Linked DNA regions of Rattus norvegicus. The main gene of each other region encodes a partner of the protein of the gene in region 3 in a complex. Links are inferred from orthologs where the notes say so. Each region holds a gene or a part of one and is shown on either strand. Other genes may lie near its edges.

Region 1 (4,217 bases), on a different chromosome or scaffold from region 3:
TTTAATTCCCAGTACCCACATGGCAGCCCACGACCATCTGTAAGTACAGTCCCACGGGATCCAATGCACTCTTCTGGCCTCCTTAAGCACCAGGCACATGCTCCCATGTAGGCCGAACATCCACACATATAAAATCAGTAAATTAATTAAAATGTTTATGGAGCTGGAGAGATGGCTTTATTATGATACTTGTTGCTTTTGCGGAAGAGCCAGGCTGATTCCCAGCACCCACATTATGGTCCACGATCATCTATAACTCCAGTCTCAGGGGATACAATGTCACGTTCAGACCTCTGAGGGCACCAAGCAGGCACACGTACACTTACATACATGCGGGTAAAACACTCATACACATAAAATTAAATGATTTAAACTTTTACTTCTGCAGGGTACCGTGGGTACATGCCTTTTTTTTTTTTTTTTTTTTGGTTCTTTTTTTCGGAGCTGGGGACCGAACCCAGGGCCTTCCTAGGTAAGCGCTCTACCACTGAGCTAAATCCCCAGCCCCGCATCCAGTTCTCTTAACAGCTGAGCCAGCTCTCTCTCCAGCCCCTGGACTTTAAAAGCTCCCCTCCCTCCTAAGATTGAGAGCACCGTTTTCCTACTCTCTATGCAGCTGCTGCTCTGTGGTCTCACACACCATTGACTTCTAAGTCGATTCTGTAGCCAGCCAGGAGCATCCTAAGGATCTCTGGTGTTAGGAAAAAACTGGTTCTGTTCATGCTTGTCAAGCCAGTACTCAGGAGGCGGAGCTTGAGAATCTCGTTTGAAGCCAGACTCTGTTGCATGCACAGTGATACTGTATTTAAAAAACAAACAAGGGGTTGGGGATTTAGCTCAGTGGTAGAGCGCTTGCCTAGGAAGCGCAAGGCCCTGGGTTCGGTCCCCAGCTCCGAAAAAAAAAAAAAACCCAAAAACTAGGAGGCACAGGTAGGTGGGTCTCCGAGTTCAAAGTCAGTCTGCTCTACAAAGAGAGGACAGCCAGGACCACACAGAGAAACCCTGTCTAGAAAAAACAACAACAAAAACAACAACAAGAAAATAAATACATAAAGGAGGGCAGAAAGTGGTCAACAGGAACCACCAATCGCACCCCAGAGAAAGAGGCAATGTGAAAACCGGATCACGTATCCACTTGCCAAGCACTGGAAACCGCAACCTGAAATGTAAATAAAACAAAGGCGAGACAAATACCGGGTAACCGTGGCCTGTCTCCACGGGAACCCGCAGGCTGGGGTTGCTAGCGTTAGCGCTGCGCTCCCTGCTGACACCGGAGTTTAGCCGCTAACCTTACCGAGACCAGAAGGTTCGCACCGCGCAGGCGTCGCAAGAAGCGCCCAACCTTCAACCCCGCGCAGGCGCAAAGGGCAACCGCCCTCCAAACCTGACCGTTAGGGCGGCCGGAGCCCCACTGCGCAGGCGCCGCTCTCGGCACCATGGCGGCCGCGTTGCTGCTGCTTCGCGCGCTCCGCCAGAGCCCGGAGCCCGGGCCCTGGCGGCTGTGGGCCCAGCTCTCAGGCAGGAGCCCCGGCCTCTTCTCCGGGGCCGGCGGTAGGCGGCCGTACGTAGTCCGTGGGACTCCGATTGGCCTGGCTGCGGCTGGAGGCCACACGCCTCAGGTAACCCGCTCGGAGCCCGGCGGCGGCGACGGGTGTGGCCGGTCCGCGCGGACCGGATGTGCACCTGCACCTTCCTCTTCGGCGAGATGCAGGGGGGCTGATGTGGGCTCCCCGGGACCTGAGGCAGCGTCTGCATCGGGTGGTCCTTCTATTCCTAGCGTGTGTGAGAGAGACGCCTTGTACCGTAGCCCCTGGTTTAGAACTGAGTCCTATTCACGTTTTTTTCTTCCTTTTCTGTCTGTGGTTGAAAGTTACTGACTTTTGTTGTTTCTTCATCTGTTTTTTTGTTTTTTTGTTTGTTTGTTTGTTTGTTTGTTTTTTTAGCTGAGTATAGTGAATTTCACTGATGGGATTGGTTGGAACAGTAGCGCTCTCTTGGTCCCTCCCCTTCTTGGGAGGCAGGTCTGGGATGGAAAGGAGGGGGAGATTCTAGATAATATGTTCATGGGACACCTGACTCCTCAAGCAGTGGAGGGCCTCCCTCTTCCTCTCATGCTCTTGCCGGAATAGCCGGCCCCTGCAGGCAGTGTAGACCCTGAGGCCCACCACCTTGTTGCTGTAGTCCGATTCGCTGCACCAGTCCACGAATCTGACAGAATAGTAGTTGAGTGGAATGACAGCCGCAGCATTAAAGATGGAAGAGTGGGTGTCACGGGCAAAGTCTCAGGCTACTGGGTCTCCCGGGATGTCCTTTAGGAGCGCTTCACCGTGACCTTCTTGATGTCATACGGTTGGCAGCTTTCTCCAGGTGGTAGGGCAGACTTTGGGTGAGCTTCCCTGGTCTTTAGCTCTGGGTTATGTCACCCACAGCCTTGGCAATGGCAGTCGATGCAAAGATGATGCTCTCGGCAGCTCTGTCGCCATCATGCAGGTTACCCTGAGAGGCCATGTAGTGGTAATGGCATGGATTGGCGTTATGAGTCCCCTCAGGACATGAAAGTTGACATAGATGGCCTGGGCGTCAGGGCTAAGCAACTGGTGGAACAGGAGGCATTGCTGATGCGTATGAGTGAGTTGTACTTCTCGTAGTTCGCAAACATGGCAGCTTCAGTAGAGCGGCCGAGATGTTGACCTTTTGGCTCCACCTGTCAAGTGGGCCCCGGCTTTCTCCACCGTAGTGAAGATATGAGTGGCCTTCGAAGTGTACTCAGCACCAGTGTGACCCCATTTGATGTTGGTGGGAATGTTGCCCCTAGAAGGTACAGATAGCCCTCCCGATGGTAACAGGGTTCCAGTTCTCAGCCTTAACTGTACCATGAAGCAGAGAGTGTCAAATTGGATTGTCGATCTTAACATTTAAAGGTTGATGGGTCATGGTTGTGAAGGTCTTTAATCCCAGCACTGGGAGCAGAGGCAGGTACATCTCTGTGAGTTCAAGGCCAGCCTAATCTACATATAAAGTTCCATGCCAGGCTAGCCAACGCTACATAGTAAGACCCTGTCTTGTGTGTGTGTTTGGAGGGTAGGGGAGAATATAAAAGGCTAATCCAACTGTGGAGCACATCTATAATACTAATACTTGGAAGGTCAGGATTTCAAAGCCATCCTCAGCAACATAGTAAATTCCGGCCAGCCTGAACCACTTGACGCAGTTACAAATGACAAAACCAAAAACGAAACAAGCTGTCTGTTGGTGGCATATGTTTATAATCTCAGCACTTGAGAGGATGATGCAGGAGGATCACTGAGTTTGAGGCTAGACTATCTCACAAAGACACAAAAGGAAAGGTAACACTCAACAGGAGTTAATGTGTATAGTTGAAGATGACTTTGGACTTTCGATGCTCCTGCATCCACCTCCTAAGCGCTGGGATTACAGGCAAGTGCCACTATACCCAGCTTTAAGCGGGTACTGGGGATCAAACCCGTAGCTTTCTGCATACTAGGCAAGGACTTGGATCCAGATCTGTGTTGTGGTGTGTGGTCTGAGTATTACCTCAGTCTTTCTCTTTTTTTACAGAGCTTGCTATTGCGAATACTGACCCCTAGCTTTGAAGGTGTTAGCGGATTGTTACTGAAACGGCATATAGTTCCAAGTGCAATCAGACTGTGGCAGCTTTCAGGTGTGTATGTATCATTGCATGTTCCATTACTGACGGACACAGATTTTACTGTAGTCCTCTAAGAGCATAGTGGAAGAGGACCATGGTCCTACATGCCTGTAATCCCAGCACTAAAATGGGGCTGCCAGTTGGAGGCCAGACCAGAACTAGCTAGTGAAACCCTGCTGTCCCCCTGCCTCCAAGCCCCCCCCCCCCCCCACCGAGATCACAGTGCTTGTTGTGATTTCAGTAGAGAAGTCTAGGAGCAGAAGGGTGTGCTGTGCGACCCAGGTATGCAGCAGAATCCGCCCTCTCAGTCAGTGTGTGCCCTGTAATCGAAGAGTGGCGGCGGCTCCTTGGCAAGTGACAAGTGACCAGTGACCATTAGCAGAACGACGACACTAGTTTGACGCTGGCTGGAAGACTAGTAACAGCCACTAAGAGCAGTGGTAGAGCGCTTGCCTAGCAAGCGCAAGGCCCTGGGTTCGGTCCCGAGCTCCAAAAAAAGAAAAAACAAAAAAAACAAAAAAACACCCGAGCCTCTGACTCTCTCCAG
Region 2 (4,269 bases), on a different chromosome or scaffold from region 3:
TTCTATCTATGCCCAGTTGTTGGCCATGGCCATACTGTGGTTTCTCTGAGACAGGACCCTTAAATGGGAAGAGTGAACCTTGTCCAGCTAAAGCATCCACTGATACCAATAAGGTGTCCCCAGTCACCTCGCCTGTGCCTCCAGAGGCCACCATGGCAAGCCATAAAGAGCTCTCCCAATTTGCAAGTCCCTTCCTGAATCCAGTTACTCTCAGTTCCCTACCTCACCCACCAACTCCAGGTGGAGCTGGGAGCCTCTGTAGCAGGAAGGTTATAGGGCTTGACTGGGTTTAGCCATAGCGACAGCCCTGCCTGCCGCCCTGCCTCTCCTTCACTTTGTCACACCCAATGGGTAACCAAGCATTACAGAGTGACAGTAGGCACAGTCCCAACCCACTGCTGCTTGGTTACAGTGGAGAGAAGAGCATAGGCAGAAAGGACTCCAGAGAGGCCATGACATCTATGCTTGCCTCCTGGTCTCCACACATCAGCCTCCGACCTTGAGTCTGCCCGTGAGGTTTTTGTTGTCAACACCTAGCCTGAAACCTGATGCAGCATGTTTGTAAAAAAACTGGAAGAAACTAAAGAATGTGTTCACTTAGCCAAGAAAAGGCCCTTCGCTGGCAAGGCCCCTCCAGGTTCTAGCATATGTAAGACAGACTTAGCCATCTTATCCCCACCCCCTCTTCTCCCAGGCCCAGTGCTCAAGGGCACAGGGAATACCAAGATTAGAGGCGGTCTAACTCTGATAGCCCTTCAAAGCCTCAGGGTCAACCCCCACCAGCAGCCCTCCACTGTGTCCCCTCCATGCCCCAGGGCCCAGCTTGCTTGTCAGTGATCCCGATCAGTCACAGCAGAGGCTGTGCTCCTGTTACCTGGCACATGAAGGCTGGGATGACCCTGTGGAAGGTGGAGCCTTTGTAGCCAAAGCCCTTCTCACCAGTGCACAGGGCTCTGAAGTTCTCTGAAGAGAGAGAGAGAGGAGGGGGGAGGAGGGAGGGAGACAGGCGGGTTAAGAGCAGGCCAGCCTTCCCTGCCAATCCCCCAGGTTCGGTGTGTGTGGAAAGACCCTGCCCCTCCTCTGGACTCAACTCCTGATCACATAATTTCCTGCCTTGAGCCAGTAGCAAGTGCTGTGGCTTGAATCCAAGCGCTAAGCTGTGCCAGTCAGGGTAACAGGGTGAGGAGCCCAAAGACTATACCCTGCCCTGTGCTGCCATGCAGAAATGGGGGGGAGCTTACATGGGGCTTCCCCTGGTTATGGGCTGTCTAGCTACTCTTGGTCTGGTTAGCAGAGCTGACAACGAGGTCCAGAGAAGGACAAAAGGCTGCCTTAGGGGTACCTATCAGCTATGCCTAAGTTGAGATACCCACACGTCACAGTCTGTTCTAATTCAACCCCGAAGCCTACCAGCCTTGGCTGGCTCACATCTGGGCCTTACCTGCTGTCTTTGGCACGACATCTGCCTTTAACTACAGGGAAGAAAAAGAACAGAAAAGGACGGTCAGTCGAGAAGCAGGTGCAGGGCAGAGCCCCCTCGAGGTTCACACCCAGAGGCCAGGGCATCAGGACCATTCCTCTCCATGCCCACTGACTCTCCTAGGAACAGCCAAGAAAGCTATCATCCCTGGCAGCTGCTTCCTGAACCCAACCAAGGCTTGCCTGAGACGGCCTCAGTTTCTTATCAGAAGAAACTACTGTCATCCTGGCCCACTTCCGGGACAGAATTGTCAACTGGAGGTCCTCAGCAGGAGTCCCTGGACCAAGAGTATCATCAGGACCAGCTGATGTTCCTCAGTGCAGGGGGAAACTGAGGTCCCCAGAAGGAAGGAGCAGACAGTTGAGGAATGACAGACAGGCCTCATCCAAGCCTGACTCTTGGCTTCTTTTAAGAATCCCTCTTCACCAAATGGGGTTGGGGAGATGCTCCTCATTCTCCAAAAGATGAAACTGAGGCATAATAATAAATATTGGCCACACACACCCCCTTCGCAAATCGGGCAGCCAACACTAACTGGTACCTTTGTTCAAGCCAAAAGGCTCCTAGAGCCTCCTCCTGATATTTTGACTGTTTCCTAATTTTCTCTTCAAGGGTCGAACAGGAGCCATTGTTGAACGTGGACCTCAAAGAGTGGAGAAGCTTGGGCTCCCAATTCAGAACCTTCTCATTCATTCCATGTGCCTCCTCTTAGGTAATCAGGCCTTGGGGGCGGATCCCGAGTGTGCTCAGGCCAACAAATGAGCACCAGGCAACACCTGGACCTCAGACACCCACCTGAGCTCTGGGTCCAACCTTGGACGCAGACGGTTCTAGGAAGCCCAACGTCAGTCCTGGCCGGTCAGTGGGCTGTCACTCAGTACGATCTGACCTTGACCTTTTCCTCCACACTAGCCCTCCCTCTCTCTTCCATATCACCCTCCCCCCCCCCCCCATCCTCCAGGGTTTTGAAATGCCCGGAAACGGACCAAGTTGATGCCGCTTCTTCTGAGAGAGGGAAACTGAGGCCCAAGGTCATCCGGTGTGCCAGGCACAGTACGGGGCCCGGGAAGTCCAGGTTTTCCCTACGGCCAAGTCTCACCTCCAGCACCACGCGGCCGAGCGGCTGTCCGTCGGCGCCCACGTCCAAGTACACGAGCGGGTTTTGGGAGGAAGAGTTCGCGCCTCGGGCTCCGCCGTCGCTGCAGGTACGGGTCGTGGAGAGGAGGAGCGGCGCGGAGCGCGGGCCGGAGAGCAGACCGAGCAGGCGGGGACCGCAGCGCAGAGCTAGCATCGCTGTCACGGGTCGGGCGAGGGCGCGCGGAAGAACTCAGAGCAGACACAACAGAGGTCGTACGACCCAGGAAGCGATACCTAGGCCGCGTGCCATCGCCTTTATTGGTCCTCTGGCTTCGAGACCACGCCCCTACACGCCTCCGTCACGCCCCCTCAGAACTGGTTCTCTAGTGTCCCCTGCTGGTTGCATCTGGCAGCGCAATCAGTTCGTGCTTTGTGCCCCATCCCGTAGCCCCACGCGCGGAACCGGAAGTCATTTGAAAGAGCCTCTAGACCAAGAGAGACACTGATCCTGAGAGTCAGAAAGACGTGGGAGGCTCTGAGGTGGATCAGAAAGGGAGAGATAACAGAAAGAACAGAGAAGTAAAAAAGATACGACACCCACAAGGTGACCGACCTCAGGCCTCCTGCTCCAGGGCTGAATGTCTCGTTTTGCCTCTAGAGATCAGTGCCTTGGCTAGAGGACTGAAAATACAGTTTGCCCAATCAATAGTGCATCTCCCAGGCCTCAGTCCCAGGGTGACCTCTCCTCTCCAGCCCACACTGACAACCCTTGTTTGTCCCTATCACTTCCAGCCAGGCCAGGAAGATACTGGGCTAGATTTACACCCACTAGAACTCACCTGGAATACACCTCCTTACTGACTGCATGCACCTGCAAATAACTTCTTAAGCAACCATTCTGAACGGATGCCGGGAAGTTGACAGTGTGTGATACAAAAGGAAAGGAGCCTGCAGCAGAGCCACAGCCAGGGATTTAAGCCCTTGTGTTCGGGGCACAGCAGCAGCCTGGGAAGCGAATGAATGCCAGCAAGTGGGGGCATGTGAGCCAAACCCGATACTCAGTTAGGAAACTGAGGCTCAGAAAGAGAAGAAAGCTCTGACCAGGGCTAGAAAACCCTGATTGGGCCAGTCCTTCTGCAACCAAGGAAGTTATGAGAAACTTATCTTGCTTTTAACTCATACCTATTCAGGGGATAAATAAACTTGAGAGAGAGAGAGAGAGAGAGAGAGAGAGAGAGAGAGAGAGAGAGAGAGAGAGAGAGAGATTTGTTAACTGTTAAACACTGCTCTGTGGACAACAGTGACGGGCATAGCCTAGACTGCATACTCAGGGTATGGATTCAGAGCATAGGGGGGACTCTCCACTGCAAGATCTCAAAGTCCTGAGAGACTGGAGAAGGGGAGGAGCTGAGAGACTGAGGAGCAGGGGAGCCACAGATGGTACAGTGTTCCCTCCTCTACCTGACTTCCTTCATGTTCTATCTTCCAGCTCGTTAGCGAACACATTTCACTCCCCTTTGTGTGAACCAAAGACAAATTCTGTCTTTACCACAGGCTGGATTCTGGTGTCTGTCTGTCCTTCCTGTCCTGCCCTCAGTGGTCTCTGTATGCAGCTAAGCATATGCCCAGCCCTGAAGACACTGGGCCCCGCTGAGATACATACTCTGCTAGCTCCCCAGCAGCTGATAGACTGGGTCATCTTCAGGGGTTTC
Region 3 (3,500 bases):
AACGAGGTGCCGCTTCTTCAGCTGCCAAAAATATAACCTGAACGTGCTCAGGAGGAAACATCAGACCAATCCAATTCCTCAAAAATGTCCAGGTCATGAGAGGCAGAGAAAGATGGAGAGTGTGTCCCAGGGAGAGGCCACAAAGGAGACCTGAACGCTTGATGCAACGGAGGATCCAGAACTGGGTCCCGGGCCAGAACGATGGTATCAACAAGGCATCAGTTAATAGTGTGGCACCAACGTTCACTTGTTGGCACAGATCTGTATGACGGGGACACATCCTGAAAACTGCACCGTTGGGTCATTTGGCCATTAAGCAAACATCACAGGGTGCACTTACAAAAACCTAGATGGCCATGATTAACCACTCAACCACGACCTCCTTGTGTACCCAAAAGACAGATGTCCAAGGCAGGCAACAGAACACAGCACACGGGCTCACGGTAAATACTTTAGAAGAAGAAACACGCTCTAATGGTACGAAGAACATGGTGAGTGAGTACCCAAGCCAGGTACACACTCGGCCCAAATACATGAGCATAATTACACATGCTCGGCTTTTATAGGGAGATAACAGAGTGGGCGGCGTTTGTATCAATTATTACAGACTCGATAAATGCACTGTGCTTTGGCGGCAATGAACAACAGGAATTTTTCGGCTCCGTAGTAATCTTAAGGGGCCAGAGTCCTATATGCGCTTGATTGAAATACTATTACGTAGTGAACAGCTACATATTATATACTATGTGCTGTGTTATAATGGGATGGCAGATATAAAACTTCAACATCAGATGCAGACGGGGGAGAAATAGAAGGGAGCTCTGCGTATTGCTTGTATCACAATTTTCTATAGAAAAACTGTAAAACTATTTCAAAAGAAAAGGGGGCTGGAGAGATGACTCAGCGGTTGAGAGCACCCGCTGCTCTTGCAGAGAACCAAGGTTCAGTTCCAAGTACCCGAATGGTCGCTCACACCTTTGATCCCAGCACTGGAGAAGCATAGGCAGGCAATCAAGGAAGGAAGGAAGGAAGGAAGGAAGGAAGGAAGGAAGGAAGGAAGGAAGGAAGGAAGGAAGGAAGGAGGGAGGGAAGGAGGGAGGGAAGGAAGGAAGGAGGGAGGGAGGGAGGGAGGGAAGGAAGGAAGGAGGGAGGGAGGGAGGGAGAGAGGGAGAGAGAGAAGAGAGAAGAGAGAGCACAGAATCACAAAATATAAAAACTCACGGCTGAACCATGGGCGTAAAAGACAGTAGAGGTGTACTTTATACATGTACTGCCAAGCTAAAACCTGCCAAAGGTTGGGAATGGTGGTGCACACCTTTAATACCAGCACCATGGAGGCAGTGCCAGGCAGATTTCTGAGTTCGAGACCAGCCTGGACTACAAAGCAAGTCCAGGACAGCCAGGGCTGTTACCCAGAGAAATCCTGCCTCAAACAAACAAACAAACAAACCTGCCAAACTAAAAACTTAAGCCTTGAAATTTAGTAAAAGTCTGGACTCAATCATCAGTGGGCAAAACAACTTTCCCCTGATGACTTAGGAGACTCCCCATTCTAAGAGCAAAAATTTCAGGAGTATAGAATATTCTAGAACCTTCTAGCCCTGTAGAGCACTCAGAAGGGGAGGCAGACCAGCTTGTTCTCTTTGCCCTCTGATGTGTCAATCAAGCCTACACTGTTTATGGCCAAAGGACCTGGCAGCCCCAGGAGCCACCTTGTGGTTAAGCTCCCAGGATCGCAGGGTCTCAGAAAACTGGGAGAAGAGCCCTCCACACCTACAAAATAGGCTGACAACAGTGACCAGTCAGCCCCTGAGTCCAAATGCCACCTCTGCCCTTCAGCCTTGGCCACTTTTTTTTTTCCTTTTTTTCTTTTTTCTTTTTTTCAGAGCTGGGGACCAAACCCAGGGCCTTGCGCTTGCTAGGCAAGCGCTCTACCACTGAGCTAAATCCCCAACCCCAGCCTTGGCCACTTTTATTTACTGGCAGCCTGGTGTGAAACAGAACAGCTGGGACAGAAAGCCCGTGGCCTGCAGCCAGGCACACAACGGTATTGTGGGATCTTAGCAGCAAACACTGCTAAGTCTTCCACTACCAAGGACACTCCTTAGCCCTGCAGACACAGCTCAGTGCAGATGTAGAGTGCATCACCAATGGCCTGCATAAGCCCTGGCTTCCATCCTCAGCACCCCATAACTGGGTATGGGAGCAGAAGACCCCAGTGCTTGAGAGATAGAAGCAGGAGGGCCACAAGTTCAATATCCTCCTTGCCTACAAAATGAGTTCAAGGCAAGCCTGAGCTACAGGAGACTCTGTGTCAAAAGTAAAAGGGAAGTTCCTGGGGCAATAGCATCCCAGTCCAGGCACCCTCAGTCTCCAAATGAGCACAGGAACACACAAAACCATTTGCTGGAGGAATACATTTCCTAAACTGAGAATACTTGCTACAGCACAGCCCCTTAACAGATGGTGTTCCTGGACAGAACACCACCACAGACCAGAACGGATAGCACTTGGAACCAAGGCTGCCTCATTGTCGTTGCTACCCGGTTTGGTTTTGATGTGGACTCTCACTACGTAGCCCTGGCTCGCCCTGAACCCACGATTCCCTCCACCCTCCAGCCTCCAGCCTCCCAGCTAAGAGGCTACTTTGACAAGACGTCAGCCCAAACACCAAACTCCTGTGCTGCAATGGACTTCCAGGGCCCATAACATCCCAGAACGTCCTCTCGGGTAAGAACCTTACCCAGTGTTAGGCGAGAAAGATGAATCAAAGGTCAGCTTCAGTCCACGAGCAAGCTGCATATGAGAGAGAGGTGGCACAGGTTAGCCCAAGGCAGGACCCAGGATGTTTCAATGGGAACGAGAGGAGGGCAGGCAGGGAGCCCTTACCTGGTCTTCCACGGTGATCTCAGTGCCCAGGGTGTTGTCTGTGTTCCACTTCTCAGTAAACGTCAGCCCATACTCGGTCCATCTGTACTTGGTTTCCAGACTGCCGTTCACTTTGGTGGTCTCCGTGTTGGCAGAACCTGAGCTAGTAAATTCCTTAAAAGGAGAGAGAGGGAAAGAGAAAGAGTAGATCTTGGCCTACAGTCCAATCTGCCCTTAGCCAAGGCCTCTAAGCAACAGAGAGTCCCCGATACGTCCAGGCAAAACTATACAGTTCAATTACAACTGAAAATACAGGGGCTGGGGATTTAGCTCAGTGGTAGAGCGCTTACCTAGGAAGCGCAAGGCCCTGGGTTCGGTCCCCAGCTCCGAAAAAAAGAACCAAAAAAAAAAAAAAAAAAAAAAACACAAAGGTGTGAGAGAGCCTGCTACCCAAAGGAACCTTCTGGAAAGTTCTTTGTTGGAAGCTTCCTTCCTCCCCTGGGGCCCTAAAGTCTGGATAAGAAACTACCCAGCTTCCATGTTTACACCCTTCCTAGTCTACAGAGTGAGTTCTAGGGCAGCCAGGAACGTCTGAGGTTGGAGAGATGGCTCAGTGGTTAAAAGCACTGACT

What was found.
Region 1: Vdac1 (region 3) and Spg7 share a complex: the UniProt entries of both Homo sapiens proteins name them as parts of the mitochondrial permeability transition pore complex. The link is inferred for Rattus norvegicus from reciprocal best matches to the Homo sapiens genes VDAC1 and SPG7.
Region 2: Vdac1 (region 3) and Ppif share a complex: the UniProt entries of both Homo sapiens proteins name them as parts of the mitochondrial permeability transition pore complex. The link is inferred for Rattus norvegicus from reciprocal best matches to the Homo sapiens genes VDAC1 and PPIF.

Annotation. Positions count from the first base shown.
Region 1 is NC_086037.1:68,024,202-68,028,418, forward strand, and holds the start of Spg7 (paraplegin), read left to right. Parts: upstream 1-1,417; 5' UTR 1,418-1,436; coding exon 1,437-1,619; intron 1,620-3,579; coding exon 3,580-3,682; intron 3,683-4,217. UniProt on the Homo sapiens protein: Catalytic component of the m-AAA protease, a protease that plays a key role in proteostasis of inner mitochondrial membrane proteins, and which is essential for axonal and neuron development.
Region 2 is NC_086034.1:1,262,532-1,266,800, reverse strand, and holds the start of Ppif (peptidyl-prolyl cis-trans isomerase F, mitochondrial precursor), read right to left. Parts: upstream 2,801-4,269; 5' UTR 2,772-2,800; coding exon 2,580-2,771; intron 1,473-2,579; coding exon 1,442-1,472; intron 964-1,441; coding exon 875-963; intron 1-874. UniProt on the Homo sapiens protein: PPIase that catalyzes the cis-trans isomerization of proline imidic peptide bonds in oligopeptides and may therefore assist protein folding. Involved in regulation of the mitochondrial permeability transition pore (mPTP).
Region 3 is NC_086028.1:37,046,709-37,050,208, reverse strand, and holds part of Vdac1 (voltage-dependent anion-selective channel protein 1), read right to left. Parts: intron 3,043-3,500; coding exon 2,890-3,042; intron 2,797-2,889; coding exon 2,744-2,796; intron 1-2,743. UniProt on the Homo sapiens protein: Non-selective voltage-gated ion channel that mediates the transport of anions and cations through the mitochondrion outer membrane and plasma membrane.